Linked DNA regions of Oreochromis niloticus. Each later gene encodes a partner of the first gene's protein in a complex. Links are inferred from orthologs where the notes say so. Each region holds a gene or a part of one and is shown in the gene's direction. Other genes may lie near its edges.

Region 1 (15,830 bases):
AAAAAATGACTTCCCTAAAAGAGCTGAGAGGGGAGATATGCGCTGGATTAGAAAAGATGAAGTGCTCTTTGTCAAGTGGATTAACGCTCGGGAGATAACGATGTGCTCCACAGTGCACAGGGCCTTCAGTGGAAAGACTGTGCAGCGTAGAGTGAAGGAGGCTGGGGTGTGGTCGGCAAAGCAAATACCTGTTCCTGATGCAGTGCTGGATTATAATAAGAACATGCGTGGTGTTGATTTATCTGATGTTCTCATTCGTTATTACAGTGTTCAACAAAAAACAAAGAAGTGGTATAAGACTTTTTTTTATCACTTCGTGGACATTGCCATTGTGAACAGTTTTATTTTGCACAAGGAGATATGCAGGAGCCAGGGTCGGGAGCCAGTAACTCAGAAACAGTTCTGGGAGCACCTTGCTGCGGAAATGCTGTCTTTTGCTGTAGGCTCAGCACCAGCAGCACCATCGCCCACACTCACATGCATGCCATGTTATTACAGCAGCGATGCTACACAATCCAGGAGGTACTGCAGGAGGTGCCTGGATGCTGGCATCCCAAGGGTGAAAACACCTATTTATTGTAGGGCTTGCAATGTCCCCCTGTGCCTCACGTCCAAAAAAAACTGTTTTGAGCGCTGGCATAAACTGCAGGAATATTTATCAAGTGTAAATGTGCACTGATGGCTTGCTTCCCCTCTTGTAATGAAACCTGGAATTTCAAGAAATACTAAATCATTTTGGGGATGTTATTATTATTATTTTTATCAAGAACCTCCCCTAATGTCAACTTTTGCCCATGTATTAAAGAACAATATGAGCAGAGAAAAATCCCTGTAACGGGCACCATATGCACCTGAAACAGATCAGATTTACTGAATGCATCTGATTTGGAGTTCTACACAAAGTGTTTTGCCATTTCTAGTAGCCCGAGTATAGTTTTAGACCCACTGCAACATTCATAACATTCAAGTTCAGGCTTCAGAGTTCAACGCTGGTGATGAAATCTTTTCCTGGAGGATGCCTATGTCCATGTACTCAGTGTAATGCAGTGCAGATTTGTTTGACAATGGAAGTTCTGTGGGTGGCCCAAGTTAAAATGTTCTTTTGTCATCCAGCACTATAAATCTTTCATGAATAAAACCATTGAACAGAGTTGCAAAGAATTGTATTCAATTGAATAAATAAACAGATCATTTCTACTAAAGCACACAGTTTATTTTGTATCAATATGTCATCGATACACTTTTTAAAATTTCTTTTAGCCTGAGATGAAAATGCTCAACTGGGGATAGGAAGTGCCCATAACAGGTCTTCATTCCTAGTGTGAAGTTTGAGTCTTGGATTTCCCCAGGAAATCTCTAAACGCCTAATAAATCAGAATAAAGGTTTGGTCTGTCTAATAATTGCTCCTCTTTGGGTCATGGGCCTTATAGGCCAGTAACTAGTGAACTTAAATACAACACCCAGAATCGGATCACAAAGAATAAAGTCTTTATTATACACTTAGGAGAATCAGTCCAGAATTGCATAGAGCTGTGGAAAAGTATACCTCAAGACGGTCAATCCAGCACTCTCACAGGAGTTTTAATATTTTATGTTTTTATACACTGTCAACCTACAGTGCTGGGCTGTGGGCTGAAGTCAGATTCGTATTTAACTTGATTAGGATATGTATTAAATTTATACCCTTAATATATATCCTGAAAAGCCTATAAATGGATGTCCTTATACTGGCATTACAAGGCTCCTTCTTGTTACAGGCCTCAATCATTGCATTCTTTTATTTTTAATTGAGTAGCAAAATCTGGCATTCTCCCTGGCATCCCTCATCCTCCACAGCTAACCAGGCTGTCAGTAGTGGCTCTTATACAAGATACCTACATTAGCTGATCTGTGCCATGCCTGAGCAGAGCAGTTTTCACTAAAAAAAGTTCATTTTTTCTGTTCTTGCTGTATACTGTACTATATTCAGCTACAGTAGAAGTGATTCAGATGAACTCAGTCATGGTATGCACCTGATGTAACGACGCACGTTGAGTAGGTGAAAGGATGGTTCCACAGTGTGCGGCATCAACTGTCAAACATGGAGGAGGAAGCGTGATGGTCTGGGGATGTTTTGCTTGGATCCAGGGTCGGTGACTTGTACAGAGGGAGAGACACCCTACTACACCATTCTGCAGCGCTATGCAATACCCTCTGAGTTGCGCTTAGTTGGTCAGGGGTTCATTCTGCTGCAAGATAACGACCAAAAACATAAGTCCAAGCTATGTCGGAACTACCTCAGAAAAAAAGAACAAGATAGTAAGCTTGAAAACATGGAGTGGCCAGCGCAGTCTCCAGACTTAAATCCCATTGAGCTGGTTTGGGATGAAATGGACAGAAGAGTGAAAAACTCGCTGGGCTTTCCCAGTGGCCAATCACTTGGAAGTGAAAGAGCACATCGCACAAACCAAATGGGTGCGAAAAGCCCAGATCTATTGTCATGAAGTTTTACCCCTTAGGCTTATGAAAACACGCTAGTTAAGGGTGTGATTGGTAAATTTTACAAGGAAGCCTCACTCTATGCAGTATGTTAAACAAAGATGGGAAAAGGAAGGAAACATTTCAATATGAAATTGAATATGAAACTTCAGTATTTTTTTCTGCTACTAAAAAAATGCTATATTTAACATTGTGTTTTCTTTGGACCAAAATCTTCTTGTTTGTAAAATGACAATTTGTCTGATGGTCTCAGTAAAGGTTTTTTCATGGATGAAAGAAAATCTGCTGGACTGTAATCCCCTACTTTACCTCTAGGAGGCAGCAAAACTATTAAAATTAGTTTCTGCTGCTGTTATTCTAGCAAGTCTTATGATTTACTTATTTAACTGGTTCCTTCTGAATTTTTCTTATACAGCATGATGTTCACTTGATTTCTGCTTCAGTATAATGAAGAACAATCACAAGGACTTCATGAGAATAAAGAATTTAACTGGGAAAGAAATCAAATGTATGCAGTCAGTATGTAGTGATGATTCTTCTTCATAGCTTCTTCTTCATAAAACCCTCTACAGCTCTCTGGTGGTCATCCATTCTTGCCTTATCAGTGCTCCAAGCCGATCACAGGCTGTTCACTTGCTTCTTAAGGACTGACTGACTAGATTAAGATTTGGGGAGTTTCCTGGCTGTAGAATGTTAATTTGATGACCACCAAATCACTTAGTTATAACTTCTGTCTTGTGACATGTTGCTCCATCATACTGGAAAATAGACAGATTGCCACTAAATTCCTTCTGGATCATTGAAAGACCTTTTGCACCATTCTTTGTTTATGACAGTGTTTGGGGGCAGAATTGTGAATGTGCACAATCCCATGGATGAGAAGAAACCACATAGATAACCTCAGGATGCTTCACCATTGGCACAACTCATGGTAGCATTTACCTTTCCTCTTTCGGACTATCAATTTTTTAGAAGTCCCTAACAGTCAGAAAGGGGCATCATCAGAGAAAATAACCTTTGACCAATCTTCTACTGTCCAGTCCTTGTAGTTTATGCAGAATTTCAGTCTTTCCTTGATGTTTTTCTTGGAGAGAAGTGGCTTCAAGCACCTTCTATTTTATAGAGAAGTCTGTGCTCTCAACTGATTGATGCGTGACATCAGTTGACTCACACTTTCTCTTGTGCTATGAGAGGATACGTTGAAACGATGATACTCATTGTTTAATGTTAGGACCAAATTGTCATTGGATTTTTCAGATGAAGTTTACTTTTACAGCAATGGAGCTGTTTACAGTTCATGAATATACTTTTTGATCACCCTGCATTAACCTTTGGCAACAAGTATAAGATGTAATTGTTATGAGATGCACCACACATACTATATGCAATATGACTATAAAACACACACAAAAAAAAGTTTCTTTTCCATGTGACATGTGACATGGAAAATAAACATCAATACAAATGTCTTTATACACAATGAAATTACACAAATTTTTATAGAAATTTGCTGTAATTGCTACTTTGTCCTGTATAAAAATCTTGAGGCACATTATATTTTGCTAGGAAAATGAGAAATTGGTAAATTGATTTGAAACATATATGGACTCCATAGTATATAAGGTGTTTGTGCAGTTCTAACAACATTTACTTTTATTCTTCAGTCCTTGAACTTAGGCAAGCTTTCTTGCCATTTCTTTAAGCAGTCTTCAGGAATAGTTCTTAAATCTCTTCTGTGGATGCTGACTGTCTTATTCCATCAATCCTGTCAATACGATCCCACACTGCTTTATTAATGTGGAGGCTAGGTGTTACATTGTGTGTTTTTCACTTTTCTGTGTCAACTTTTCTTGTTGGATGAAACACACTATGTTGTCTCTATTCCTGAAGACTACTACTTACAAGAAGGCTTGCCCAGTCTTTCCAGTATACTGCATGTAGATTTACGAGTTATCTTTTGCTCACAGTGTTCTAAGACAGTCTCTATAAGTGTTCTGGGCTTGTAGTCTATCTAGTTAAAAAAAATCCCTTGTCTTTAAGTTTGTTAGGTGGAGACAAACACCAAAAGTCGTCATTTTCCTCTGTAAGTGCTAGATGTTTTAACTGTATAAGTATCACTGACTTAAAAGGGGGTGTTATACTAGTGTGCTAATTTTCATCTGTCGCCACCAACTCTTTTAGGCCTAATCATAATATCAACAAGTTTAACCTCAAACCATAAAAAAGCAAGACCGAATCATCAGATAGCTTTTAAGGAGTCAGACACAGTCCTCACTCCTCCCTCTACTACTTTAATTGGCCCTCATAAAGACAGAGATTCAAGAGGATACTTGGATTTAAACATTAAAACCAGGCTAATGTGCATCTGTGCTCTACATGGTACGTAATCTGCATAGTTAAGCCTTACACAACGTCCATTACAACATCTCTCTCAATTTCACAAGTATATTCTCTCTCTCTCTCTCTCTCTCTCTCTCTCTCTCTCTCTCTCTCTCTCTGCCTGTCTGTCTCTCCTGCTCACTCTGATTTCACTCCTTTACATTCATACAAATGTAACCATGGCACCAAAACCAGGCTTAAGTGTTTATCTTGATGCCTTATGCCATCAACATATGATTCATGCTATGTATTACACCGACGCTGTTTCCCTTCCAAACACAAACATATAACCTCCCCCTTCCTGTGAATCTCAAGGGAGTCCTGCCACACATTCTTGAGTGTACACTTCATTGGAGCAATGATTCAGAGCAGCTCATAGCCAAATAAGACGAAAACGCCTCAGCTTGCCTACTTTGTCCGCATATGAGCTGCTGCTGTAGCTACATGGACTTGGCCACTTGTGCATTCATACACAATGACAAAAAAACTTTGGGCTGCAACTCTGTTAGAGCTGAATGCTATTTGTAATCAGTGAGTTGAAGAAATGAACTCTGTAAAATCGCCACTAAAATTAGATTTTTAAACCACTATTATGTGTACAGCAAAAATGAGAAAAAAAGGAAAAAAGGGGTGGGGGGTGTTAGCATAGAACAAGTGCAGAGTTGCCCTGGACTGGTCTGTTTAGACTTGACAGATCTGTTTTGACTTGAGCTGTGCCATTTGGCCTTCAAAGATTCCAGACATGTGCCAAACTGCAATGAACTTTGACTCCGATGTCTTGATTTTTTTAGGCTTCCCTGTTCTAAACTGGCCTGTATTGCTGTATGTTATTATCCTGAAAAGTCCCAAACTGAGAAAGCAGGAGACTGGAACTCGGCTCTTTTGATTACATGTTGGGCTCAGGACTGGATTTTTAAAAACTTTTTGTTATCAGACTTAGTTCTTGCTTTTTCTTCATTCTTTTACCTCGTTGCCTTTTCTAGAGCTAAATATACAAAAGTTGTAACGTGACTTTCAAGAACAGAAAAGAACAAAAGTGGTACCTGCCTATCCCTGAAAAGGGGCTCACTAATGACTAGTAAACAATAATGTTGTCCCCTTCTCAGAGAAACTTTGATTGTAGCCATTTTTAAAGCAGGCAGATGGATACTTCCTTTTGCAAATATGTTACAAATGTGTATAAAATGTGTAATGTTGTTAAAGACTTACAAAAGTCACCTATTACTGTGTTGGTTTCTTTGGGGCTATTATGTGTGGACAGGCATGCTCTCATTGTGCTTGCATGGGTTTTCACCTCCTCTTGGATAATTCTTAATCAACCTTAGATGGGAGGCAAATTACATAACACACTTGAGGGCATAAAGTGCATAAAATGAGGTGTTAGATAAATAAAAAAGAGGAATAAAACTTGTAGTGTAAAGTGCATTAAGTTGGTGAAAAGAGTTGAAATCTAAGTCTGTTCTGTTCCATTATTATCCATTATATTTGAGAGTTTTATATTCGAAACTTTAATCATTTGGATCTGGTTTGAGGGGTGTCTCTGCAATGGATTGTAAGATTTTACTATAAGAGTCAAATCATGAATCTGTCATATAATAGTGAGGGCCCAACAATAAAACTAGCTTTGCTTGCTGTAATCATTGTTCTTTTCCAGTTTGTCCCAGAGAAGTCTGTTCCCGAACCACTTTTACTGCAGAGGGACAAAATCCACAGTCCTTACTCTGTAAATTTACATGGTAAAGTTGATCTGAAGCATATATGATGCTTGAGCAGTTTAGCTTTGTCCAATCAAGACGATGTTTCCCTAAATTAAAATCACCTCTTTTATCACTATCACTGCACCACAGCTCATTAAGAAAAGGGGGGAAATTTGCCAATTCTTTAGTTACTTCAAATGTAATTCATCAAGAAATTGCTTTCTTTGGTCTGTTTAAGGAGCAAAACCATTTTCAGCGTCCACTTCAAACTGCCTAAACATAAGAGGTTGAACAAATGAATTAATTCTGTCGTTTAAAGTTTCCATTATCTAGTAACAACGTTTCAGCTAACGAGACAAACCAATCCTTCATATTATCTGCTGACAGTGGCAACGTTTTTTAGAGGTGTAAAATGTGTAATGTTCTCACAATAGGAAGGGCCTTTTAAATTTTATTTATAAAAGTAAACTATTGACTATTACACTTCAGCGATCTTTTACACATGACTGATGATAATAAGTTGATGATGACCCAGAATGAAGCAAAACAGAACAGAAAACAGCTACATGACAGTCAAAATCCCTCCTTATAGGCTACGCCTGCCTGTCTTGGAAAAGTGTGTGTGTGTGTGTGTGTGTGTGTGTGTGTGCGAGTGTGTGTGTGTTCACGCTGTCTGATGCAGGGGAATGGACTTCCTGTTCAGAATGTGTTGTCATGTTGACTAACCAAGGACACCAAGAAAGGGAAACGACCTGGCCTTCAGAATAAAAGCTTGGTATGTGCAGTCTAGTTAACATGATTAAAGGCATTTTAACAATCCCAAAGCTATGGAGGCTAAATAATTTGCTAATAGTCTATAAATAGAGCATTATATTAATAATGTGTTATATAAGGTCACAAACAAACATACAAACAAACATTGGTTTAATACATATACATAGATTAGTGTGTAATAATGATTTCCAAAACAAATGAATATGTTCTCATAAACTTGCCTGAATTAATCCATTAAAATATATAGGACTTGGGCCAGTTTGTGGAAGTCACAGTGTTGCCTCTCCAACTTGAATACAGTGTCCGAGATAGTGAGAGGGACATCCCTTTCCTGCCTAACTGTGTCTTATGTATGTGATTAGAGATTGGCCAAATACATAGTACGCCCAAGGTGGAGGACAAGAGAATTCATGAGCGTTTGTGTGTTGTGGAGGCAAATTTTAATTTGTGTCTGCACCTTCAGATTCAAAATGGGAAGGTGTTTTATCGTCTGATAACAGGTCTCTTTCACCAAAGAACCAAAATGTGAAGAAAAGTGACAGCACGACTGGATTCTGGATAAAATGCTTTCCTTTTCCTCCTCAATTCACCGCTCATCTCCTTCATATCAATGTGCATATCAATTTTTTCAGATTTTGTTGCAGTTACTTATTGCCAGCATGCGACCCTGTGATTAGCTGACAACCAGCTGTACAACAAGAACTGGTTAAAAGTTAGTTTAGGATTGAGTGTCTTAAAAATCTCTCTTTCTGTCTGATGTAAAGATTCTCATATGACTGAGTGAGAGTTTATTTTGTAAGTGTTTGAGTAAAACAGGGTTATATTAACTTCAAGGAAACTTTCACTAGCACAGGCAAACAGAGGCTAACAGTGGCAAACAAGTGTTATTGGCAGAAAACCTTAGGATGTTTGCAACAACTCGCCTCAATATAGGGCTGGTTAATCTGGGATACCAGGCATTTTCCTGGTGGGCCGATAGGCCCAAAAAGTGACTCAAGGGTAAAAACATAAAATACAGCAAAATATTTGACACATAACCTTTTTTTTATTTATTTATTTTTAACTCTTACATCTATTGTTAAGTATATGTATTCCTCAAATATATTAAAATATAATTTTTTATATACAAACAGTAACAGAAAAAAAGTTGGTTATGTGGTACAGTCTAAATTTAATGTTTTGATCTCTTTTGGCTGACTACAACATGTTTGTCCTATAGCAGCCACCAAAGCACTGAGAGGAGTTGACTGCAATTATGCAATCTGCTGCCATCTAGTGGTGAGATTTTACACACTGTAACTCAAAAAAAAAAAAGAAAAGCAAAATATGCTAAACATTTTAATAAAAATTCCTAAGAAAACAGTACTTGATGGACTTTCACTGCTTTTTCAGCAGAGCATCATATATAGTGTTTCTCACAACTGTAATGAATTGTAGTGGCACAAACATTTCTATGACTTTTTTTGTGTGTGTCTCCTGATGGGCTGGATCCAGTTTATTTCTCTTTTATTTATTTGTTCTCTATTAATGGGAGTTTTTATTTGGAAACAGCAGTGCTTAGTGGCCAGCTTATTTTGGGCAGGAAGAGAACCTGAATGTTTATGGACTTGATAGAACGTCTGAGCATTTATGAAGTATCGTCACAACAACAATAACTACCAATGATGCCATTGCGCACTGTGTGTGTAATTTAGCTGAGCAATAGTTGAAAATAATTTAAACTATTTAATATTTATCTATATATCTAGCTAGCTTGAAAGAAACTCAACTGTTCTGAATCCCTTCCTACATTTGAAATTGTAAATTTGATTTAAATTTCCAACTCCCAGCACAGCCGAAAATCATGCTTTTGTTTTGAAGGGTATCAGACGGAAGTTGTTTGCTATGTTTGGACATATAACTTGACTTTAGCTAGTTGGAGCGAGCCTATCCTTGACACACTTACCCACACCATACAACATACACACACACACAGTGTCGCGGCCTCTCCCCGAGCTTGTTCCGAGATTACGCCGCTTTCATCGCTTAGACAAACTAACGAATCGCCGGTGAAAGACTGACTCTGCCCCCGCCCTGCGCTGTGTGTAACGCTGGTTAGCTCCGGTACAAGCTGGGAATGTGTTTTATTTAACAATTACATGACGACTTGTTCTCTGTACGGTTGCGGGGGGGACGCTTGTTAGCAGGGCTGAGATTTTAGGCATTTTAAAGTTACACCGTGGGTGCATACAGGCCACAACACCTCTAAGCTAACTGATTAACTTGATAAGGGACAGACAACATCTTCGGCGTCTGTGTTTGTGTCGGTGAAGCCGCGGAGATCTCCAGCAGCAGCCATGGCAGGGACACGGACAGCTGCTGTGCTGGTCCTGGTGTGTTTACACTTCCATCGCTCCGGCTCTTTCAACCTGGATGTGAATAATTCCATCGTATACTCCGGACCTGAGGGGAGCTACTTCGGCTTTTCGGTGGACTTCTTTAAGGCTTTAAACAACCTAAAGTAAGATTTGTAGCAGAGTAGATGGTTATGGTGATGATGGTGATGGAGAAGCGCCTGTTCAATGTAACCTTTGGTTTACCTTACTTTACATTATATATGCTTCTGTTGAAGTACTTTACTTAAGTTTTACACTTTGGCCATTTTGTTATTTAGTGACAAGTTCTCAGCTAGTGATATGTTTTTAAGATTTAACATGACAGTCCATTAACAGCAGTCCATTAACTTTTAACTTTTACTTCAGTACTTTATTAACCAAATTGTAAGGGCTGAATTTTACAGGCAATTTGAATTTATTGCCCATTATTATAACCATATATTTTAAGAAAAATCCATAAGTCAGAGATTCTCCCTTCAAAGCTGCACCAGCTGTGACTTTATTTAAAATGAACACAGACAAACAGGAACAGTGCCCAGAGGCCATGTAGGCTTGGTGCTGTCTAAACTCTCGTCCATGGATATCCATGATTATCCAGTTTTACTGAAGTGAAAGTAGTTCTCTCAAAAGAACACTACTGATCTAGTTGTTTTCAGACTGCATTTGTTTTGTTAATTTACATCATTAACAGACCAAATGCAGTCCCAAAACAGTGCCAACGCCCTCGGTCATAGAGGAGGTTTAACCTGAGGTGCTTTTAAATTGTGTTTCCCATATTGTCAAGTGTCATAAAGGTTCCTGAAAAACGTTTTTAAAAAATATTCCCTGGAGTGTGTGAGACATCCTAATAACAGTCTTATCATCGCCTTTATGCTTCCTGGTCTTGTTTCTTGCTGTATTTTTAGAGTGTCTGCATGAAAAGATAGCAAAAAGCTGCCTGTCATCCTCTCTCCCTGCACAGAGTTTCTGCAGCAGTTTTGTAGATGCACATTAACAAACTTGCACCGTGCTACTTTTTATGTATAATAAGAAAACAGGTGGTTTTTTCCCAGACCTCTTTAAAGCATCATCCCATAACGCATAGCCCAGTTGTTCATTTTTTGTGTTAAATAAATTCTTGTGGATTTCATCCCTTGTTCAACTAAACATCAGTAGGTACCCAGGAAAATGTCAGTTTATTGCAGATGACTCCCTCAGTGCAGCAGAGCCCTGTTGACCTTGGTAAGGGAACATATTCAGTAACTTTGTGTTGTAACATCTAAAACCTCTATGCTGTGCAGATAAATATCGATTGCCTGCCATTTCTCCATATTTCAAGGTTCAAGGTTCTTTATTTGAGAAAATATCAGAGAAATGTTGCAGTCTCATGTGACAATAGACTGACAGAGCGGACAGAAAGTTAGAGACTTTCATCTGCAGTAGCCTGAAAAACATTGAATCCTTTTAGTAACACTAATTAGATCAGCACTGAAATTCACTGCCCATGTTACAGTTATTGCCATGGTCAGAGTGGATTTGTATAATATGATATCAGGACCGAAGTTGGCTGAACATGGCTTAATAATGTAAATATGTCCTCATACAGAACACGGTCGCTGTGGAGACTCGTTTGGTTCTAGTTATTAAAAAAGAACTATAGATTTTCCTCACAGGGCCTAATGCATGTCAAGCATAAGCTGTATAAAGCATGGTCGTAGCTACTGTGACGCCACCCATCACCCATTAGTGTTTGACTGCTGCCATTTTGGTTTGCTGAACCCAGAAGTGACTGTGGTTAGATGAGAGGGTGGAATGATACGTTGTCGCTAGGAAACATCATCTATAAACCATATGGGTTGAATGCACAGTTACAGATGCCTACTAAATAGTGCTAAATAACAGACAGACACTACAATTTCACTCACCAAAACTGAATCACAAACTTCTTAGATGCTCCGCACCACACCCATGTCAGTTGTTTAAACATGGTGACTCCAGTTAGTGAAGCTGAAACCCAGCGGGTACCAATCAGCTACAGCTAAACATGTTGTCAGCATCTAGATGGATGAGTTATAAAAATAAATACAAATCCCCTCATACTAGAGTTGTTATGAAGCTGGAAACTCTCCACGGAGGCCAAAAACAGTTTTTACACCAGGCTGTAAACAGGCCTTTTAATGCATCTATGGGCACTGCCTCACTATGTTTTTCTGATGCCAAGCTCAGAGCCACTAGAAGAACCGTTCATTTGTGGTACTTTGTGTTGGCTTCATTTAGAGCTATGTATTCTGTTAAATAAAAAAGGTCAAAAGTTTTGATTCATTTTATAAATCTCACAAAGCTATATCAGCCAAATGTTACTAACAATAAGCTACGCTAAGTTCAGCCTGTCCTTCGGTTTTTATTAGCTAGTTTGAGGCAGCAGTAGTGGCTGGAAGCTAAAAACCCCCCAGTGTAACAATGTGTGGCCTGCAGTAATTACACGTATTGAGAGATCACTTGATTTGTAGCTGTTTTCCTGTTGTTGTTTTAATTTTATTCTACTGAGTGTGGTTCCTGTCAGCTTTTAAAACAACCACATCAATCATTACAACCACCTCGGTCTCACTGAACCAGCAGCCTTTTAGCACAGCAGTGTTTAACGGATGAAAAGTTTTCATTCGTTTTATAAGTGGTCAGTACCTTAGGTAGTGAAAACAGTTGCAGTTGCAAAGGAAAAAAAATGTCCACTGAATGGCTCTTTATAAACAAATCCTGTTTTGCACTGCAGCAAAACCTAAATGCTTTGAACAAAGACCTACTGTTCACCTGAAAACTGTTGGCTGTCTCTTGCAGCATCGCTACAAGCAGCCAAATCATGTTTTATATCGCTGAGGAAATTTGTCATGTTACCGCAGCATCTACAGACGGGAGATGATCTGTGTTTCGTATGTTTATTAGATTAAGAACTAGTCACATACTAGTTATGGGATGTTCCAGGCAATGATACTTTTGGACAAACACTCACTGTTGCAGCGCTGTGGCTCTGTAGACCTCTTTAAACTACACATGAAGGTCATTGTACCAGTCTCGGTCAGTAGTACTGATAATGTCATCTTCTGGTGCTCTGGATGTTTCTCCTGTAGATCTGTAGTCCTGTGTGATGTATGCAGAGTGGGGACATCAACACTGGAAGAAATGAGCAGGTTGAAGATAAAAGCAGCATCCAGTGTTTTCTTTCTTTTCTTTTTAAATTTAGTTTGAACCATATTAGAGACTAAAGTTCTGCTTTCACCACAGACTTCCTGGAGAGTATGAGTCTTTTAAAGAACTCTTCTACTTAACATTTAACTGGATGAACCAGAGTTTAAAGTTCTGTGAGATGGTTAAATCCCCAGAAAGTCCCTGCTTTGGTGCTAGATAAATTTAGTTCACTGTGCTTCAGTAAATTGAGCACACGGCTGAACTCTGGGCCTTTTTATGCATTATTGCATTGCCTCATCCTAACAATATCAATCTCTGTGCTAAATATAAAAGCCTGCCTGAAATGTGGTTTAAAAAAAATGCTGTTATTGGTATTACTGGTATTACTATTATTATTGGTATTTGTTATTGGTATTGGTATTATTAGAAGGTGGGAAAATACCACCACAACTAATCACTGCACCTCAGAACCTGAGCTATAATGAAGCTTAATAACCACCCAAGACTGTCATTGAACTCTATAGCAGGAATAAAAAAATCCAAAAACAGTGCAGATATATGGCGATGCTGATGTTCGTTTTACTTGTACAGCAATGATTTAAAAATCTGATTTATTTATTACTATTTTCTTTCAGATGCAAGAAACCTAAAAAGATTACGTGAACATTTGTTATGAGCAGTTAAATATGACACTGCAGTTATAATAATACTGTTTTATTGTCACAACAAGTGGTGGACTGCTTGTTTACACTCTTCCTGTCTCGGATTAGCTTGTTGTCATGTTTGTGGCATTTGTGTGGCAGAGTGCACTCTGGATAAACTAAGCAACATCAGCACTTGTTTGAAGGGTATTTCTCCAAGCACTTCTTTTTAAAAAAACCTTTATTTATTGGCTGTTTTAAATGTCATGGTGGATATATCAGCAAATAGCCAGAATTAACCAATATATTAACCCTGTCTATTTATCTATCAAGAAATATGCATATTAGTATAGCTAATATGCACATTGCATATCCATATGCAAGTATTTGATGAGTTCTTACTCACAGACTTTCCTCATATCTTGTAGGCCGAGTTCATTCACAGAAATTACTATGATAGTAAAGCTGCCATATTTTGAAACACCAGCTGAGTCGTGTATGCACAGGTTTTTAGACTGAGGTGGTAACAGATGACTGAAAGATTAAGCTTTGTTTCCTAAGCTGAATCAGACACAGTTTAGCCTCTCTTGGTCAGCTTAATTACTGCATGACAGCATTTGTGGCTTTTTCTGTATGAGTTGGTGTCTGTTTGTGTTACGGAATAACGTCCTCTCCTCTCCTCAGGTCAGACGTTCTGATTGGAGCTCCTCGAGCTAACATGTCTTCGGACAGCATTGTGGAGAGAGGAGTAGTGTACAGCTGCCCCTGGAGCGGTTCCAGCGCCTGTCAGCAGCTGCTGTTTGACAACAAAGGTACCAGAAGACCCTTTAGTTTGGTTAAAAACTCTTCCCCATCACCTTAGGGTGGCTTTAACCTTCAATATCTCTCCCTCCTTTAATGAAAACCACTTAGAATTTACATTTTAATTCCAGACCATGATAGATAACGTGGACAGTTTTCAGTAAGCGTATTACTGATTGGATACTGAGGGTTCAGCTCAGCCTGTTTCTGTTGTTTTCATGCTAAGACACATTCAGGAATGTGCATTGAAGCAGAATGTGTGTGGACTCGTCCGTGTACTGTGAGTGACAGAAAAACTGCTGCCTCCTTCTGTTTATCCATTTTGCAATCATCTGTCTCCAGCATTGATCATAATTTAGTAATTTACTGGTTCTCTTTGATTGTGAAAGGCCAGATGAGCAGAGCACTGTCTTCACTGTAAATATTTACACAGTGATAAACAGTTATAATTTGGCAATGTTCTGTGATGTGGGTATTAATCCCTTTATTGTCTTCGTAGAATTTCAGTCATTTTTCTGTGAGGCAGCAGCACCCACACGTTCCAGGAATCCTGGAAGCTTCACACAATAAAATGTCCTTTTCTTAGGTGCAAATGGTGATTATTTCCTTTATATGTGAATGAACTGATTATGAAGAACAGCAGAAGTTGTCAAGGAAATGTTTTTGGTCATATCTGTTGTTTTTACCAGGGGAAGCCAAACTTTCGGAGAATATGTGGCATTTTGGATCTATAAATGAGTAAATCTGTGTTTCACACACTTTTCTGACTACACCACATGTGATCCAGAGCTTTAAATGTTCTCGAGTACTAATTAATCTATATTTGTGGCTAAAAACTGCTGTACACTGATATCAAAAATAGCAGATAAACTGAAACTGAGACTACCTGGTGAACCATTGACCCACTCAAGAACCATAATTTCTCTCAGGAGCTCAAAGAGAGTTAGGATTTTACCTGATTATATACTTTGTCATATTCTTTAGTTCCTAAGCTGATAACAAAGCAAATGTAGGGCCCTCCCACTTTCTGTTCAGCACACTGATAGTCTTATTGTCAATGAATAGAAGTTAATGAGGCTAAAAGGCTAAAATAATGAATTCTACCTATTTCTATAGAAAATGTTTTGAAAATGCAGAACTGATAATATGTTTGCATTGAAATGAAACGATGCTTATGTGGTGTTTGCTTAAAGGAGGCTTTTCTTCCACATGAAATGCTACCATTCTGCATGGTGATTGGTCAGTTAGAGGTTTATGACAGAACAAACTCACTTCATGGTTCCTTTTCCGCTTCCTTTCAAGCGAAAACAAACATGTATAAAGAAGCAATTGATTGTTGTGGTCGAATTAAAATTCCTTAGAAAATTTCTGCTGGTTTCTCGCGTCGTGCCAGAACTCACAATAGCAAAGCGGGACTTGTTTCTGTGTCATCCTTGCGACTCAACAAATGGGATTACATCTAAGCCCGTCTGTCAAAACCATAATAAAAATGTCTACAATAAAACCATTTCCTTCCCATATG
Region 2 (16,374 bases), on another chromosome or scaffold:
TAAGAACTGCAGTGATGTAATTGATTATTCATGTTTAACATGACTGAGCCATTAACCACAATAAAACAGTCTCAGGGTGGCGTGGTTGGCATGGTGGCACGGTGGTTAGGGCTGTTGCCTTGCAAGAAGGTCCAGGGTTTGAATCCCCCATCTGGCTGAGGCCTTTCTGTGTGGTGCTTGCATATTCTCCTCATGTACTCCAGCCTCCTCCCACAGTCCAAAGACATGCGGTTAGGCTAACTAATGGATTTTCCATTCCTAAATAACTAAACGATAACAATGACATTCAGTTTTAATAAATTATCATTGAATTATTTTTCTTTTCCGTGCAGTTTGAGGATAAAAAGAGCCTGCCGTCTCTTTTTGGCATTCCTGCTCTATGAGCCACACTCTGACCTGACATTTACTGTAATCAGTTATTTAACAAATGTGTTTGATCTTACTATCTGTTTCATTCTGGAACATCCTGGCAATGGATTCATGAGTTCTTTGCTAAAGATGTGAGACTGTGTGAAGCTGCTTATCTTTCTCTACTTATTGTTTACAGTACTGGCTGTCCTTGGTATCAGCTAGCTACAATGTGACTTAGCTGTTATGACTTACTTGGAAAGGAGGAAAAATACTGGGAGGTGAAGCAGAAAACTGACATGCTTCATGTGATTTGGTGGATTTTACCAGAACTATCCCTGGTGGTGACACTGTCTTAAGCGTCTCTCTGTGGGTGATGAAAACAAACGATGCTTTTGTGTCGGCTTGTTTGAGCTTTTCTGCCTCATCTTTGAGCATCACTGCCCATCCAACTTTCTCCTCTCCTTTAGCTCAGTCTGCTGCTGGTACAAAGTAGATTTCCTTTCTACACTTGACTTCTCAGTCAAAAAGTGAAAAGTGATTCCTCATTTCCTCTGACCTTGTAGTAACATTAATAAGCAGAACACACAGATCAAAAGCTTTAAAAAAAAAAAAGGCTTTTTTTTGTCTCTTTCACTAGTTTTCACTCATTTTGCCACCTAATTTTGCAGATCTGATCTGTGTTTGTGCTGCCCTTGAATCACCGGACATTTACCTGGGAAACGGATCTGATTCCCACATGACTCCTGGGTGACTTCACATTACACAGCAGTGCAGTTGTGTCAGGGAAATACAACCTGGGTGGTGATTTAGAGGAACCGGCGGTGAGTGTGGATGTGTATGCGTAAACCACAGAGTGGAATATCACCATTACGCCTCCATGTTGCAGCCCCGCAGGCCAGAATGTGTTATTCCCCTGAATATAACTGAAAGTCCTTCAGAGCGGTGACCTCGCTCCTTCCCTCCCTCCTCGCTCTCCCTGACGCTCCCTTTCTTTCTCATGGTGAAGCTGGCGCTGAGCCAGAGAGCTCCTGCTGGCCTTCATAGAAATACAGTAACAAAGTGCAGAGCGCAGCTGGTACCCATGATGTGTGTGTGAAAATTTAGGGGCATTCCAGCTCCTTGTTAAGTGGAAGTGGGCACAATGAGGAGCATAGATAACCAAGCTCTCCCTATTATTGGGTTTCACTTTCACATTCAGGGGACAGTGAGTGTGCATCTCTGACAGGTGCCCTGAGCACCTGATACTATTATTTCAGCAAAGAAATTACAAGGATGGATGTGGGCATTTACCAGACAGGAGACCTGGGAGAGGACAAACTGAGTTAGATTACAGGTCATCTTTATTGCAGACTCAAGAGCCTGTAATAAAGAGAGTGTTTACGTGCTTGACCCAGTCATGGGAAATTCAGGATGTCTGTCTCAGCTATGCAGATTTTGTCCTTAATTATACAGAAAAACAACTTTAAATAGCGAGACTGAAATAAAATCTTTTGGCCGAGCTGTTGATTGTATCTCACAGTCTTCATAGCTTTGCTCCCTCTGCCAGTGTAGGTAGGGTTTGTGTGCATGTCCTCCTGTCTGTAAAGTTTTCATCGAAAAGATTTTAATGTGTGATGATAAAACTTTGTAGGAATGTAGAGTGAGGCCATCCCTTAAAATTAGGCTCACATCCATCAAGGTCTTCAAGGTCAGCTTGATGATTTATTGGATGAGAGATGACAAAAAGGCTTGTAACTTAAGAAACTATGAGTCTTTCACTAGCTGGGCCCACGTCCTCATTTATGTTTGACAGCGTTTTAGTAGGTAAAGGTTGGCTTGGACATGAATTGAGCTGCGGTTTGGGGAAGGCCTCGAAGGGGACTGTCAGCGGCTCCCGGGCCTGGCAGATCCCAGGTACGTAAATGAGAATGAACAGCTTGTAGGACTGGGGGTACCTATATAGATGAGAACAGGAAGGAGCGTGTTTGGAGGCGTGGTCCTGCTCCTGAAATTCCGATACTTAATCTCCAACAAGTGTGGTGATGATTTTTAAGCACCATATAAAGGTTTAAAATATACTAACACATTTGACCTCTAACCTTTCTTTTGCTAATTAGACTGATCTGAAGGTTAAAATAATTATAATGGTACTGTATAAAGACCAATTTAAAATGGTGTTTCCTATAATGCCATTAGTTGTATGACACCATATAAGGAATAATATATGGGAAATCTAAATATCTTCATGGTTTGGACCTCTGACCTCATCTTTAATGTCAAATAAAGTCAAACTCTTTTAAAACGCCTTTTATTGTCTTTTATCTTTAAAACTTTAAAACTATGCTTAAAATTCTACTGCCTGTGTTTGTATAGGCGACATTTATTTTATTATTATGATTAATATTATTGAATTTAATGCTTTTAAAAAAAAATAAACATGTGTTCAAAACTGTTTTTCACTTCCTATTTCTTGCTAATCATTCATCCATCCATTCTCTTCCATTTATCCTTATCAGGGTGGCGGGAGCACTGGAGCCTATTCCAGCTACCATAGGGCGAGAGGTACACCGTGAACCAGTCTGTCGCAGGACTAACACACAGAGACAAACAACTGTGCTACACACTTACTGAAGTGAATTTAAAAAGAACAAAAAAGGAATATATAGAAAATAAAACACTATTCCCTTAAAAGTAAATACTGCCCAGAGAATGAGCTGTCTTGGCGGATGTTTGTGCACTCTGACTGCTTCTCATTTCGTGTGTCGTTTGAGGACTGCTTAGTCATCTGACCTATTCCTTGTCTACTCTACAACCACTAAACATTTGGTTACAGGATCCTTGCTGATTACAGGTCTTTCGCTCTAGTCTTGCCTACAAGTAGTTTGCCAAAAGCAGCTGCCTCCGTTCGATTTGATTGCTCTAGTTGGATAATCTAAAACCCCACGAATGCAAAAGTAGAGTTTTAGGCCACCCAAGTAAACTCTCCATCTGACCTTAGAAACTGAATCTATGAAATGCCGCTAAGATACACAGATTAAATGTTCACACTGCTGTTTTAAAGATTGGCAAGCACTGCCAGTTCTGATCCCAGATCATGATATTGTAGCCCCAGTGAGTCATTTGGGATAATTTCTTTTGTAATCGTTTACTGAAACCACAGTTTCTTTGAAAAAAACAGTGACAAAAAACATGGGTTGCTGTGTTAGTTCTTGTATGTGCTGACAGTCATGCTCGTGGTTGAGTGAAGTGGAGGTGTATGCATGTTTCTGTACTATTGTCTGCGTCTGCATTCAGCCACAAGGCCACTGATAGTCACCATAAATATCAGCTGTGACATCGCAGTGACCACGGAGTTTCCTTGGGTATGTCCAGTGGAGAGTAAACGGATGTTTTCTGAAATCTTAGCACATGCCATCATTCCAACCATGAAACCTCACAGGAATTCAGACTCAATTCGAAGAAATACATGCAAAAATGTCTTGGTGTCATTGTATGCAAACGCTAAATCTGTTGCTTCAAAGGAGGAAATTCAATGCTAACAGCGAAGTACTTCCGTTGAAATTCCCATGTAGAGCATCAGGCTTGAAGTCTTCATGAAAGTGAAAGATCGAGGAGGAACTTTGTCTGGTAGCTGCATCGTTTTTGAAACAGCTGCGATGGGGTTTATGGGTACTGTGGTTTTAATATGGAAAAACTCTCACGCGAACTATACCACAGGTTAAAGATGTTTCATGTTGCTTCTATTTTCACCTTTATAAACATAATTCAGAGTTTAAATTCAGTTAAACGTACACACGGTGCAGTTGGATCCCATTTGCTTTCAGAACTGCTTTAATTTATCATGGCACAGATTCAACAAGGTCCTGGAAACATTCGTCAGAGATTTTGGTCCATATTGGTGCAATAGCATAACACAGCTGCTGCAGATTGGTCAGCTATACATGCATGACGTGACTGTTGTTTTCTACCCAAACAGTTGAGATCTCTGGAGGCCATCAGAGTACAGTGAACTCATTGTCGTGTTCAAGAAACCAGTTTGAGGTGATCTTTGTGACATGGGAAGTTTTCCTGTTAGAAGCAGCGATCAGTAGATGGGTACACAAGGTTCAGCATATTTTACTTTCAGAGATGCTTTTCTTCATACCTCAGAGGTAATGACTGGCTGTTTGAGTTACTGTCGCCTTCCCATCTGCTCCAAGCCGTCTGGCTATGCCTCTGACCTCTGGCATCAACAAGACATTTTCACTCAGAGAACTGTCCCTCACTGGACATTTTTTCTTTTTTGCAACATTTTCTGTAAACTCTGGAGATGATTGTGTGGGAAAAACCCAACAGATCAGCAGTTTCTGAAGTATTCAGACCAGCCCATCTGGCACCAGCATCCCTGCTACATTTAAGGTCACTTCATAATCTGATGCTCAGTTTGAAAATCAGCACGTCACCTTGAACACATCTACGTGCCTAAATGCATCCAGTTGCTACCATGTGATTTTTTTTGATTAGATATTGAGATATTGAGGGTATTATTGTCACACTAGCTAACGAACCAGAAGACTGCATCACAGGAGAATATGACATGATTATTACTGCGTAGCAGAGACATCTTAATCTGAATAAAAACATTTGCATAATTACTCTGTGTTTTACATATTTAAATTGTGCTGAATGCTTTTACTGTTTATGTAACAAATTCTGCCTAGTTTCTTGAGGATGTCTTAGTTAAAGCAGCATCTTGCTTTATTTTGAATGTTTGTTCTCATTTATGTTTCCTGAAGACTCATCATGTCCTCAACACGTAAACCACATGATGTGTTTTGGGGTTTTTTGTTTGTTTTTTTCAAAGACAGATTTCTTTTTATATTGAAGAGCAACTTTGATATCAGTGTTGCTGTCTCCACCACGTAAGCATAAAACTCACAGCCGGATGTAAGCGGTAGAATGGTTAGTGAGTTTGAGGAAAGAGGAAACAAAAATTAAAGGCCAAAATCAACAATGAACTGAGCACAGATTTTATCTTGCTAGCAGCCTAATAAGCAATAGCTCTTTCCTTGGAATCATAACAGTCAGGAACAAAACCAGCTCCTTAATGCAGTGTAGATTTCCCTTGTGCCACTAAAATAATTCTGAGTGGAAATCTGGGAGTCCAGCAAATCCTTTGGGGATTTGAAGTTGAAACCTGGGGGTCATTTGGGCTCGTGGACTCTTCTTGGTCCTGATGGAAAGAGGCAAGATTGTGGCGAGGGGTGAATGAATCAAAGTAACATTGTAACAACAAGGTCGGTGTTACTCACGTTGCCAGTCAGTGCTGTATGACAGTGTTTCACTTCTGCGCAACAACAACTCAAACTTATAAAGTCACACTGTTGCACTGAAACTGACACATTTCATAGTTATTTTTATTGTTATGCCACTCAGCACTACATCCACTCACTGAGCGCCAGCTATTCAGGTGAACATGCCAAATATGTCTGCTATTTATTTACTATCATTTATTTACTATAAGAGTACTATTTCCTAAAAGCCCAGCATTTCATATGAAAATCTATTCTTATAATCGATTTAGAAAAAATGATTTTACAGCTAAATTTATTGTATTCATGGCGGTGCTGTTTTTTTCCCCCATGTTGACATTTCCCTGAGTCAGAATGACTTTTCCGATGTTAGTGTTAAAGATATTAAAATACTCAGAACTTTACATCACCTGAACCTTACGCAAAAGAAAATTAGATCACCTGATCACTGCTGTCTCACAGTGACCAAATATGGATCAGTTCACATAGCAGCTTCCTGTTCATATTAAAAATAATGTAGTGGTTACCCACAACAAAAGACTAGATCAGACTGTGCCAGTGAAATAAAAACACAGTTTTTTTATGACTTCAAAAAATTTCAGTTCTTTGTCAAATTTCCTGATTCAGTCAAAACAGGAACAGAAGTAGGTCTTCCTATTTTTACCCCTCCGTAAGCTGAAACGTGGCTGCTGTCAGCGTGTGAATAATAGCAGTAGAAACATTTGATTCTGCTTTACATAATACCTTATTTAGACTGACATTTTGATAGAAGTGGAAATTTGAGATTCAACTCCCCCTCCACCTCTCCTAATATAAAATTGAACAAAACAAAAAACAGTTCAGCATCAGAAGAAAAAAAAATGAGTAGGAAGGCGATGATAGGTGATTCTGATTTTTGAGGGGGAATTCATTTCACCAAAGGCCAAATGCTGACATATAAATGTGAGAGGGGATTTCAGATTAGACTGTCGAGTGTTAAATCATGATGAAATGCAAATTTGTTATGACTGTGTGGCTGTTCGGTTCCACTTGATAACAAAAGGCCCAAAAATGCTGACATTTAGAAACACAAAGAAAAATTTGTGCCAAATCTCCCCAAACGTCAGTCACTCTGTGCACTTGTGGTGGCTGGCTTGGATCCATGCATGAGAATCCCCATTCTGCTCCCCTCTCACATTTGACCCCTTACTTTGTTCTCGCATCAGCTTATCCAAAGAATGGGAGGCTGAATGGAGAGTGAGGGCGAGGCTTCAGAGAGAAAATCACTGAGAACTCTCTGAATGACCACTTAGTAAGAAAGAAAGAAAGAAAGAAAGAACGAACGAAAGAAAGAAAGAATAAAGTTGGGCAGGTGCTTCAAAATAGAGTATGGTATGTATGTGTTTGTCCACACGTGCATGTGTGTGTGTGTGTGTGTGTTTGGAGAACGATGAGGCCAGACCAGCGTGATGGAAAGCCCAGCCGACTGCTAACACAAACATAGCAGGGGGAGAAGAAAGAGAAGAGAAGGGGGAGGAGGTGTGGAGGTGGGAAAGGTGGGGGAGGAATGACTCGGAGGAAGAGTGGCTTGTGTCGGGTTAACAACAATGACAGCTGTCATTAAGATAGTGATGTAGGCCAGTGTTGATGACCAGGGCAGAGGACCTGTTTACACTGGAGTCCATTATCAAGTTTGCTCAGCAGTGAATACCTCTATTTTTTATGCCCTCTGGTCACCACGAAACCCTTGCTGCCACCTTCAGCCTGCAGAGAGGAGAGACTTGAGCCTGGGCAGAGAGAGAGAGAGAGAGAAAGAGACTGCATGGAAGCTGCTTTTCAGGGATGTTTCACACACTTAGAAAACAGTGGGGTGTGTGTTTGCATCATTATCATAATTGAGGGTGACTGCTTGGAGTGTGGATGGGGAGGTGTCAGCACTCCAAAATTTCCCATTGGACAAATTATGTGAATGAATGGATGAATGAATGAGAGGAGAGGCCGGCTGGGTCTGCTCCAGGCTCCTGAGCAACAGATGGAGGCCAAAGAAGAGCAGATAAACGCGATCTTATTGCTGCGCGTTGGCGCATTCACCGTCGCCGTTGAGGCCTGGAGCCAAGACAAACATCTCTCTTCTTTCTTTCTTTCTTTTTTACCTTAAGGACCTCTACCAGATACGAGCAGGCCAAAGATGGTCTGGGCTGCTACGCGTTTTCTTGCTTCGTGGCTGTTTTCCTCGTGGATAAAACGTTCAGTTATTTACTAAGTATTTTTGGCTCTCCTCAGCGGAGCAGCCGGCGAGGAGGTTACTCTATGTCACTGGAATCTGCGCACAATGGAGTCAGACCCCCACCCCGTCACCTCCCCCTGTCCGCTGTAGCACCAGCCTGTGAACCCCTCTGCGAGAGCTCTGGTTTTTACTGACCACCCCCCCAACTACCCCACACCATCATCCATCCACGCAGGTCCTCGCGCACAGCGCCCCCCTTACGGCTCCCTTAAGAAACAACATAAACACCAGCGCTACACTCGGAATCCACCGCACCGCAACTCCTCCTTGTTCACCTCTCTTCCTCCTCTCCTTATTTGTCAGCCACCCCCCGCGCACACACACACACGCCCCTCCCCTTCTGAGCTCTCTCTCTCTCGTACGTACAGCGGCGTGGTTACCATGGCAGTGGTTAAAACACGGTTATTCTCCTGCTCTCGGCGTATGATGTTCACTCAGCATGTCGGTTGCGCGCCGGCTGAGCGCTGATTGGCTCTCCCGTGTGTAACTTCGGCTTGTGCTCTGTCCCGGGATGAGACTTTTACCATCAGCTGTGAGGCGAAGCTGTGAGAAGCTCTCGGGGACGCGTCGCACACCTGCGGCTGGGTGGAAATAGATGGAGGTGACTCGCACTCCGCCGATTGCTTCACCTCCTCTCGTGGCCCACGGGGGAGCGCGCTTGTAAGCTGATTTGACCGGTCGAGGTGAATGCCTCTCCGGGATTAGAGGGCTATTTGGGTGAACCACGATGTCCCGCGGCTCGGGCCAGCACTCGCGGTTATTGTTCATGCGCCGGCGAACGCACGGTGTCCGGTCTCCCCCGGTTCATCTCCAGTAGCCGTACAGCTCCGCTTCCCGTGTCTCCTCGCTGCTTGGCTCCGGTCTCCTACCCGGTGTGGACAGGATAATATGACTTCCTGGCTACGCACATACGACAGCGCCTGTCTGTGCCTCCTGCTCTGCTGTTTGGTGGCCACTTTCAGCGGAGAATCCTTCAGTGCCGGTGAGTGGATGCTCATTGGGGGCTAATTACATCCCATCTCAGCAATTAGCCTGCATCTTGTAGCTATCACTGTCAAGCGATCATTAGCTTCCCCTCCATCCCCTCTGTAGTCTCTGCAGGAGGTAACGTAAAAGACTCGTAATGGGCATTTGGCTCATGTGGAGGAGTTACAAACTAGTTATTGATGAGAGGTAATGACAGCCTCACTACAGTAGCAGATACCACTCCAGCCCTCTGTGTTGAGCACATTACCGAACATTTAAAATTAGAAGTTAAATGATTAACCTTCACAGTCTTTTTTGCCAGAGGCCAAGAGTTTTAATTGGGTGAGAGTGCGCTGTTAGTGATGCTCAGACCTGCAGCTTTTCTCCTTTTGTCCTACATTACAACCTCACTGAAGCTCCCTGGAATAACTCTGGAAAATTAGATTCCAGCAGATAAATCACTACACTACAACATTAATTCCACTACAAAAAGCCATACTTTGTCACTCAGTAAAGTCTGCATCCTTACTGTATTTTTTTCTGCAAACCTTGCATAGACATATCCTGTTTGAGTGCCTAGTTATGGACTACATATGCACATTCTCACTAAATGATTGACTCATGATTAGATGTCGTATGGATGTGTGTATTGGTGTTGGGCGGGGGGTTACCACTCCAGCAAATCCAGTACCTGCTTCCAGATGGTGGCTGATTTGTGCTGAACAGCCTCTTATGAGATGCTAAGTGGTGCTCCTATCATCAGAAGTGTCTAATGTCCACAGGGGTTCAGCTGCATGGCTAATAAGTGTTGACACACACATTCTTTCATATGCTAATCTCAGATTCTTCCCTCCTCCTCTTGCCTATCTTTTTTCTTCTTCCCTGCAATCATTTTTCTCTCGCTGCCTCCTCCACCTTTCCTCCTCCCTTCCTTGAGCAGGTGACAGCGTGTGTCGGTCTCCTGGCGTCACCTCTTGTAAAGACTGCCTCAGCCGTGGCCCACAGTGCGCCTGGTGTTTCAAAGAGGTAGGAATGCGTATGAACGTGTGTTTGTGTGTGTCAGACACAAACGTGGAAGGCATTGGACAGCATTCCTCAGATGACACGAACCAAAGCTTTGATCCAGTCCACAAATGTGAATATAATATGCACCTTAGAGCTCGGCGGCCTGCGTTATGACTCGTGTGAGTTGCGCCGGCTGCCCGTGTGAATGTTTCCATGCACGTTTTCTCAGGCAGAAGGCAGAGACAGAGCCACTTTTCCATCCATGTGTTTAGTCTCCACACACTTACACGTATTGCTGCTTCCGCCCATGCCTCTATCTCTGTCTGTGTGTCGGTCTGTCTCGTAAAGAGCCCACCCCGAAACAGACTTGAGGAGCTGTAAAGCTTCCTGGTGCCACACCAGTCACAACACACAGATAGAAAATACCAGACCAGACTGTCAGCATGTGTGCATTTACAGACTTCAGGTGCTTTCCCACCCTCTAAGTCCTACACTTCTTGACATCATCAAGCGGGGCTGGGTTCACTGGTGTGTGTGTGTGTGAGCCCTCAAACGTTACCTCCTACACACACAGAGACACACACACACATACAAGGTCATGTAAACTCACAGAGCCATGCTTGGATAAGTATTAAACAGTGCCGGTACAGTTTTTGTTAATATGCATGTTCACATTTGGCTGTTAATATCAGAGTCCAGTGAAGAGACAGACTGTGTAAGGAAAGTCCCGGGAAGTCTGTCTGAAACTTTTTAGTATTCAGAGTTGTTACAGGGCAAATTATAGCCACAGGGAACACCATAAATACACAGAATCCAGTCCAGGTTTCAGGTTCAGGTCCTGGTCAGATAGTTTGCTACAGTTTCAGGTCCTATTGTAGACCACGGCTTTCCTTGGCTGTGTGGATTTTTTTTTTTTAATTTTCACTCTTTCATCCCTTATCTGTTTCCCCCTCATGCTTTTTAAAAAATGACTGAACTCAGTCTGGCCCATGACAGATTAATTACAGTGTAAATACACATATTTAGGGGTGTAGTTTTACAGGGTTTTTTGTGCCACTTCCTTGTATTTGTGAGAGTTTTTGTTACAGACTTAAGTACCAAAGGTCACTAAGCCTCTCCAAAGCTATAAGGCATGACACTGTTACACTCTGCTGTTGTGGCAGCTGACTGTTAGCAGAACTTAATCAAGAATCTGAAGACAATAAGGGCGTCTAATCACATTTTGAACTGTCCAAACTAACACTGAGCAAATTTCCATCGCTCAGTGTTGGAATACACGGAGAATAAATCTGGACACGAGTAAATCCAAACAGGCACTTCCCCCTGGTACTTGAAACTGATGAGTAATTTCAAGGGTCCAATAGCAAAAACAGTCATGGCTCTCATGTCGGGGTAACTCCATCAAAAATCAATGCAAACACACTGAAAGCAATAAGAATGAAAAATGAAACCACTGATTAATTGTGAAACTGGTTTCAGTATTGCATGTTTCCCTGAGTGGAATAAACGAGGGGAGGCTTTGCACGTCTGTGACATCAGGCAGGTGCGCAGGAGAAAGAGAAACGGATCAAAAGTTGCCCAAGGGCTCCAGAAGCGTCGCAAGTAAATCCTTTTTTTTGAATGTTTGTCAGTGTGCAGGAGTCTGCAGCATGTGTGAAGCGAACCACACAGTCTTTCACTACATACTTCACAGTGAGCAAAGGTTAAAAAATCAACTAATGGGTTAAACATTAACTAGATTACAGCCTTTAAACGCCGAGTGTTAGGCATACATTTTTGAATTGATGTAGCGGGAGACGTCGGCACAAGTGTAGAGAAAATCTATAATTTTTCTTCTGACCTTGAAATTGTTTACTCTCGTTCTTGCTCCAGACTGGCTGAAGGAGATGTGCTCATCATACAGATGAGATTACAGCGAAAACATGGCTTTCTTGTATGCTCTGTTTATAGAATTTAAAATTGCAAGTGAGCTATACCCTACAGACTTTCTCCTATATTAAAATTTATAATGTTAAATAAAATTGATGAATTTCAAACATGTTGTTTTTTGAAACATACACTTCATTTGAACTTGTAACCAGCAAGATATATTTTTTTTATTTAGAGGGTGATAAAATGTGTTTTAAAAGGCAACTAACTGGGGAACATATATATAACGCCATTATTACCTATTATTATTTGCAGTATATAAAATAATGTAGAATCCAGAGAAATCTGTGAAAACAAAGGTGAAAGAAAGGCTGAAATCCAACATTGAATGGCCTTGATTTGTTGCCCTCAGGCAGCACTCAATTACACAGTGGAAATCACTTAATGGCTTTCAGAGCACTTTTAAAACCAACGTCAGCCAACTCACAGATCGTCGTTGTATGCACACTTATCCCCACAATGAAGAGGAGGAAAAAGGATATACACAAGATGCAGAAATACAGTTGCAATGGGTGGGCCCAAGCTCATTTAGGAGGGTGCAAAATTGACCAAACAAAAGTCCTTTTGGAAATCAAATACGCCGCCTCCCGTGGGCTGAAGAAGAGAGAGACCATCTCAACATCCGCCATCTGTTATTTGTATTCATTAGTGCACATGGCGTGAGTAACTTACATGTGCAAAGGCACCGTTAATATTCAATATTGGAGGCTTTGAAGTCACATATGCTCCCATTGTTGTTTTATAAAAGAAGGCTTTGCTTAATTCATCAAGATAATGCAAAAAGATTACTCTGTCACCTTTTGGAGACATTTTTACCTACAGTGTTGTTAGCGTTTTGTTGGAAGTGAATTTGCTTTTTGGAAAAAAACAATGACATTTCAGGTTTTATTATCTTTTTGCTATTTTCAAGGACGCGTTTAAATTATTTGCTCATCCATCCATTCCCACATCATCTGTGACAAAGCTTTTGCAGATGAATTTACAGTGACGGTGAAGACTGAGACAAAGTATGGTTTATTTGCCCACATGTATCTAACACCATGATAGTTAATGGTAGATCAAGCTTTCCAACAGCAACAACAATCTCTTGTCTAATGACAAATGGCAGCCTTAAATACTCTCAGCTGTTTAGGACTAAACCATTATTTACTCTCAGGTGAGTTTACCAAATTCTACCATTCCACCATCTATATACAATACACAATTTGAGTTAATAAATAAATACATTTTCACCATTCTCTGATAATTAAATATGTTATATTTTAACCTTATACCTTAACTCTATTAAAAAAACACCAAAAACCCATGTATAGAGATTTCTCACACTCCCTTAACCCATGGCCTCTCCTGGAACCTTTAAATGGTGTCGGGACCACTGGGGAAATATTTGCCCAAACACCCTGGAGAGGACACGGAAAAGATCTTTGCACCAACACTTTTACCTGTAGACTTTAAACACACACATTTGCCTAAGTTTTACTTGGCAGTAGACCTTATTTGCTCCCAGTAACAACCTTTCCTCACAGACAAACACCACACTTCTCAGTGAGGAGCAGCTGTGCAGGACCTGAAACAAAAGGCCACCTGCTAATTATTAAATAACTCAATAAATATTCAATAAATAATTAAACCTCTTGCGTGCAAATGGTTATTGATGTGCAAGTCTATTCTTAAAGTGCAGTGCTCAATAAAGTGCTTTTAATAAAGTGCAAAGGTGCTCCTAAAGTGCTGTGCAAGTTACCACAATACAAATTATACTAGTAAGGAAGCTGTCTTCCTTACATCATCCTAACTTGTTTTAGAAACAGGGTTGGATTTTAAAACCAGCATATTTTGAATGAAGGGCAAACTGACCATTTTGAACTTTATGTTTTCACCTGTAGGACTTTCTAGATGGGGCGGGGCTAAGTCAGCGCTGTGACTTGCCAGTTAACCTGCTCAAGAGGGACTGTGCACTGGAGTTCATGGAGCAGTCAGAGGTTAAGGTGGAGGTCAACGCCACCATCAGCAGCACACAAGTTTCCCCAAGAGACATCAGCATCACCCTCAGACCAGGTAGATGACGTGATAACTTGGGTTGGGCGTAAAAACGATCAGACTCTCTTAAAAATGTATTCAGTATGCAGACAACACACCATTGCGGCGATAGTGTAAATGACCAGCGCTTGTGGTTTTTGATTATTTTGTGTGCCCAGCAGGGCACTTTGTGAATGTGCTGAACACCAGTGCAATATCAGAAAATAAGAACATTCTTGCGGGAAAGAAAAGGAACAAAAAAATGGGAAAAATCTCACCTTCTTTAAGGATCAGGCCATAAGACCTCATCCACATCACATGCGGTGCTGTATTTAGTAGCTCGGCAGCACAGCGAGTACTGCCTGCAGCGCCGTACGGGAGCATACAGCACCAAGCGGTGGGTGTTCAAAATTCCACTGGCTAAAAGTGTTAACAGTTTCCGAGATGGGTGCTTCAAGAATCACTGTTAGTGTTTAAGCCTTCAGGAAAAAACTATAATAAAGACATTATTGTGGAGAAATGGTGCCCTAAGCACTAAATGAAGTCACAGTCCAAGTGTGAGTGTGTGTGTGTTGTAATCTGAGCTTTTGGTAGCTGGTTCGGCTGCTGTGAATAGCAGTGCAGTTAGTCCCCTTCCATTGAAATCGCTGTCCTTCCTGGTAACTACATATATATATAGATGAGCAGCAAAGTGAGAGTAAAGGGAAGATGCCTTGCAGTCCGGACAGTTCAGCCAACCTCTACCTAACAAATGTTTCACTGCATCTCTGCTTCACAGAGATGCTGGTGCTGCAGTGCACCATGCAGTGTTTTTGAATTTTTGCTCATTGCAGTTTATGTTGTGCGTGTGTTTTTTGTTTCTAGGTTCAGCGGCCAGTTTCATAGTGTCGGTGAAGCAGCTGGAGCGTTATCCCGTGGACCTGTACTACCTGGTGGATGTATCGGCTTCTATGCAGGAAAACCTTGATCAAGTAGGTGTGAAAATGCTCGTCTGTCACTTTGCTGCTCAGTGAGTCAGTGAGGATTTGTTCCACGCCTTCTTCTCGAAGGTTCTATATATAAATATAGCTGCAAGGACTATTTGCTGTGTAGAAACATAATTAAGTCAAGGCTTGCATAAATGAGAAGTCTCACCAGGATCTATAAACAGTAATAAGTGGGCCCAGTGAGATGGACACTGACTTTATAACTACTACAGATTAAACTTTTTTTTTTAAATGAAGCAGAGGAAATGGGAGGTAAATAAGCTTCTTTTTTGTCTAATGTGCCTGATTTATTCTGGATCATCTTCCAAATCTTCTTATTTTATATCCTCTTGCACGCCTTCTTTCTCGCCTGCCGCTCTTTACCTGTCCTTGTTCTACCTCTCCAACCTGCTTTCTGCGTGCGGCACAGCTGAAGACGGTGGGTGTAGCTCTGTCCCTTCGTATGACGGAGCACTCCTCAGACCTTTGGCTGGGTTTTGGCTCATTTGTGGACAAGCCCGTTTCTCCTTACATCAACGTTCATCCTTCGAAGATCAACAATCCCTGCAGGTAAGATCATTCGTTAGCTAGAGTTTGCAGATAAAATGATACACTAGAAGAGTGATGTCATCATTTCAGTGATCATGTAAAAATATATACAAAGATATTTAGCTTTTTAGTTGCTTGGGGCAACATTGTCATCAGGATAAGCTGAGCATATAACAAATAGCTCTGCAGTTCCAAATCTTGCAAACAGGACCTCGTTTTTAATGTATTATTTTTTTTGTCTCTCACAAGCGATTTTGAAATACGCTGTCGACCAGCCCACGGCTTCCACCATGTCCTTAGCATGACGAGCAATATGAGCGAGTTTACGCGGGTGATCAAGCGCCAGCGCATCTCTGGTAACATGGACACACCTGAAGGAGGACTAGATGCCATGCTGCAAGCTGCGGTCTGCCAGGTGGGCATTTGTTCATATGTAGTTGGCGTACATGAATACATATAAAACCCCCTCAGAGGCTGTTAGTGACGTATAGTGACTGCGCTCTTTTAGGGAAGCGAGGGGACCAATTAATGTAGTTTTGCCACCCTTACTCGATTGTACCGGCTCAACCCTGCATTCTCACAATTGTTGTTGTTATAATCCATCAGATGTATTAGTTTAGGTTGCTGAAATAATCAAAGCCTTCCCTAAAAACTACATCATCTCCATGGCAACATGTGTCACTCCATAGCCTGTCTATATTGTTTAGCATTAATGGTGCCTCCATAGTGCAGGTTACCCTAATGCTCACTAAACACCAGTGAGACTTCTGGCTTTTGGAATGTGTGTTAATAACAAGCTCCTCTTCAGCCCAGAGAGCTCTGTAATTGGTCAAAGCACAGGACAAATTTCACTTTGCCTCATCGGGAATGAGCTCAGCTCCAGCTTTGTTTTTCTGGATCTTAATTCAAGTGATTATTTGGTAAATTCACCTTTGGATGCTATCACAGCACTGAGTCTGTGTGGAGAGGTCTGAGTCATGGTTGCACATCTGGACACTGCAATTTTACACAACTCCTCTTTGCAAAACTCCTCAAGCTCTGTCAGGTTGCACAGGGT

Evidence for each region.
Region 2: the proteins of itgav (region 1) and itgb8 are in contact, whole or in part, in a cryo-EM structure (PDB 8TCF), measured with the Homo sapiens proteins. The link is inferred for Oreochromis niloticus from reciprocal best matches to the Homo sapiens genes ITGAV and ITGB8. Residues at the interface, in NP_002201.2 of Homo sapiens: Tyr48, Phe51, Trp123, Leu141, His143, Gln150, Glu151, Arg152, Pro154, Phe184, Gln186, Phe189, Pro204, Trp209, Asp249, Tyr251, Tyr254, Arg275, Arg278, Thr279, Gln301, Met302, Ala303, Tyr305, Phe308, Pro328, Leu329, Met331, Ser335, Asp336; in NP_002205.1 of Homo sapiens: Ser197, Pro198, Ile202, His203, Pro204, Arg206, Ile250, Asp251, Thr252, Pro253, Thr287, Ser288, His289, Leu290, Ala291, Leu292, Asp293, Lys295, Leu296, Gly298, Val300, Pro302, Glu321, Ser324, Leu325, Gly326, Gln327, Glu330, His349, Trp350.

The regions. Positions count from the first base shown.
Region 1 is NC_031987.2:29,165,294-29,181,123, reverse strand, and holds the start of itgav (integrin alpha-V), read left to right. Parts: upstream 1-9,244; 5' UTR 9,245-9,665; coding exon 9,666-9,829; intron 9,830-14,191; coding exon 14,192-14,319; intron 14,320-15,830. Other genes in the region: piggyBac transposable element-derived protein 4, read left to right, coding at 1-679.
Region 2 is NC_031985.2:23,808,058-23,824,431, reverse strand, and holds the start of itgb8 (integrin beta-8), read left to right. Parts: upstream 1-8,058; 5' UTR 8,059-8,775; coding exon 8,776-8,869; intron 8,870-9,793; coding exon 9,794-9,879; intron 9,880-13,670; coding exon 13,671-13,842; intron 13,843-14,667; coding exon 14,668-14,774; intron 14,775-15,198; coding exon 15,199-15,338; intron 15,339-15,566; coding exon 15,567-15,732; intron 15,733-16,374. UniProt on the Homo sapiens protein: Integrin alpha-V:beta-8 (ITGAV:ITGB8) is a receptor for fibronectin. It recognizes the sequence R-G-D in its ligands.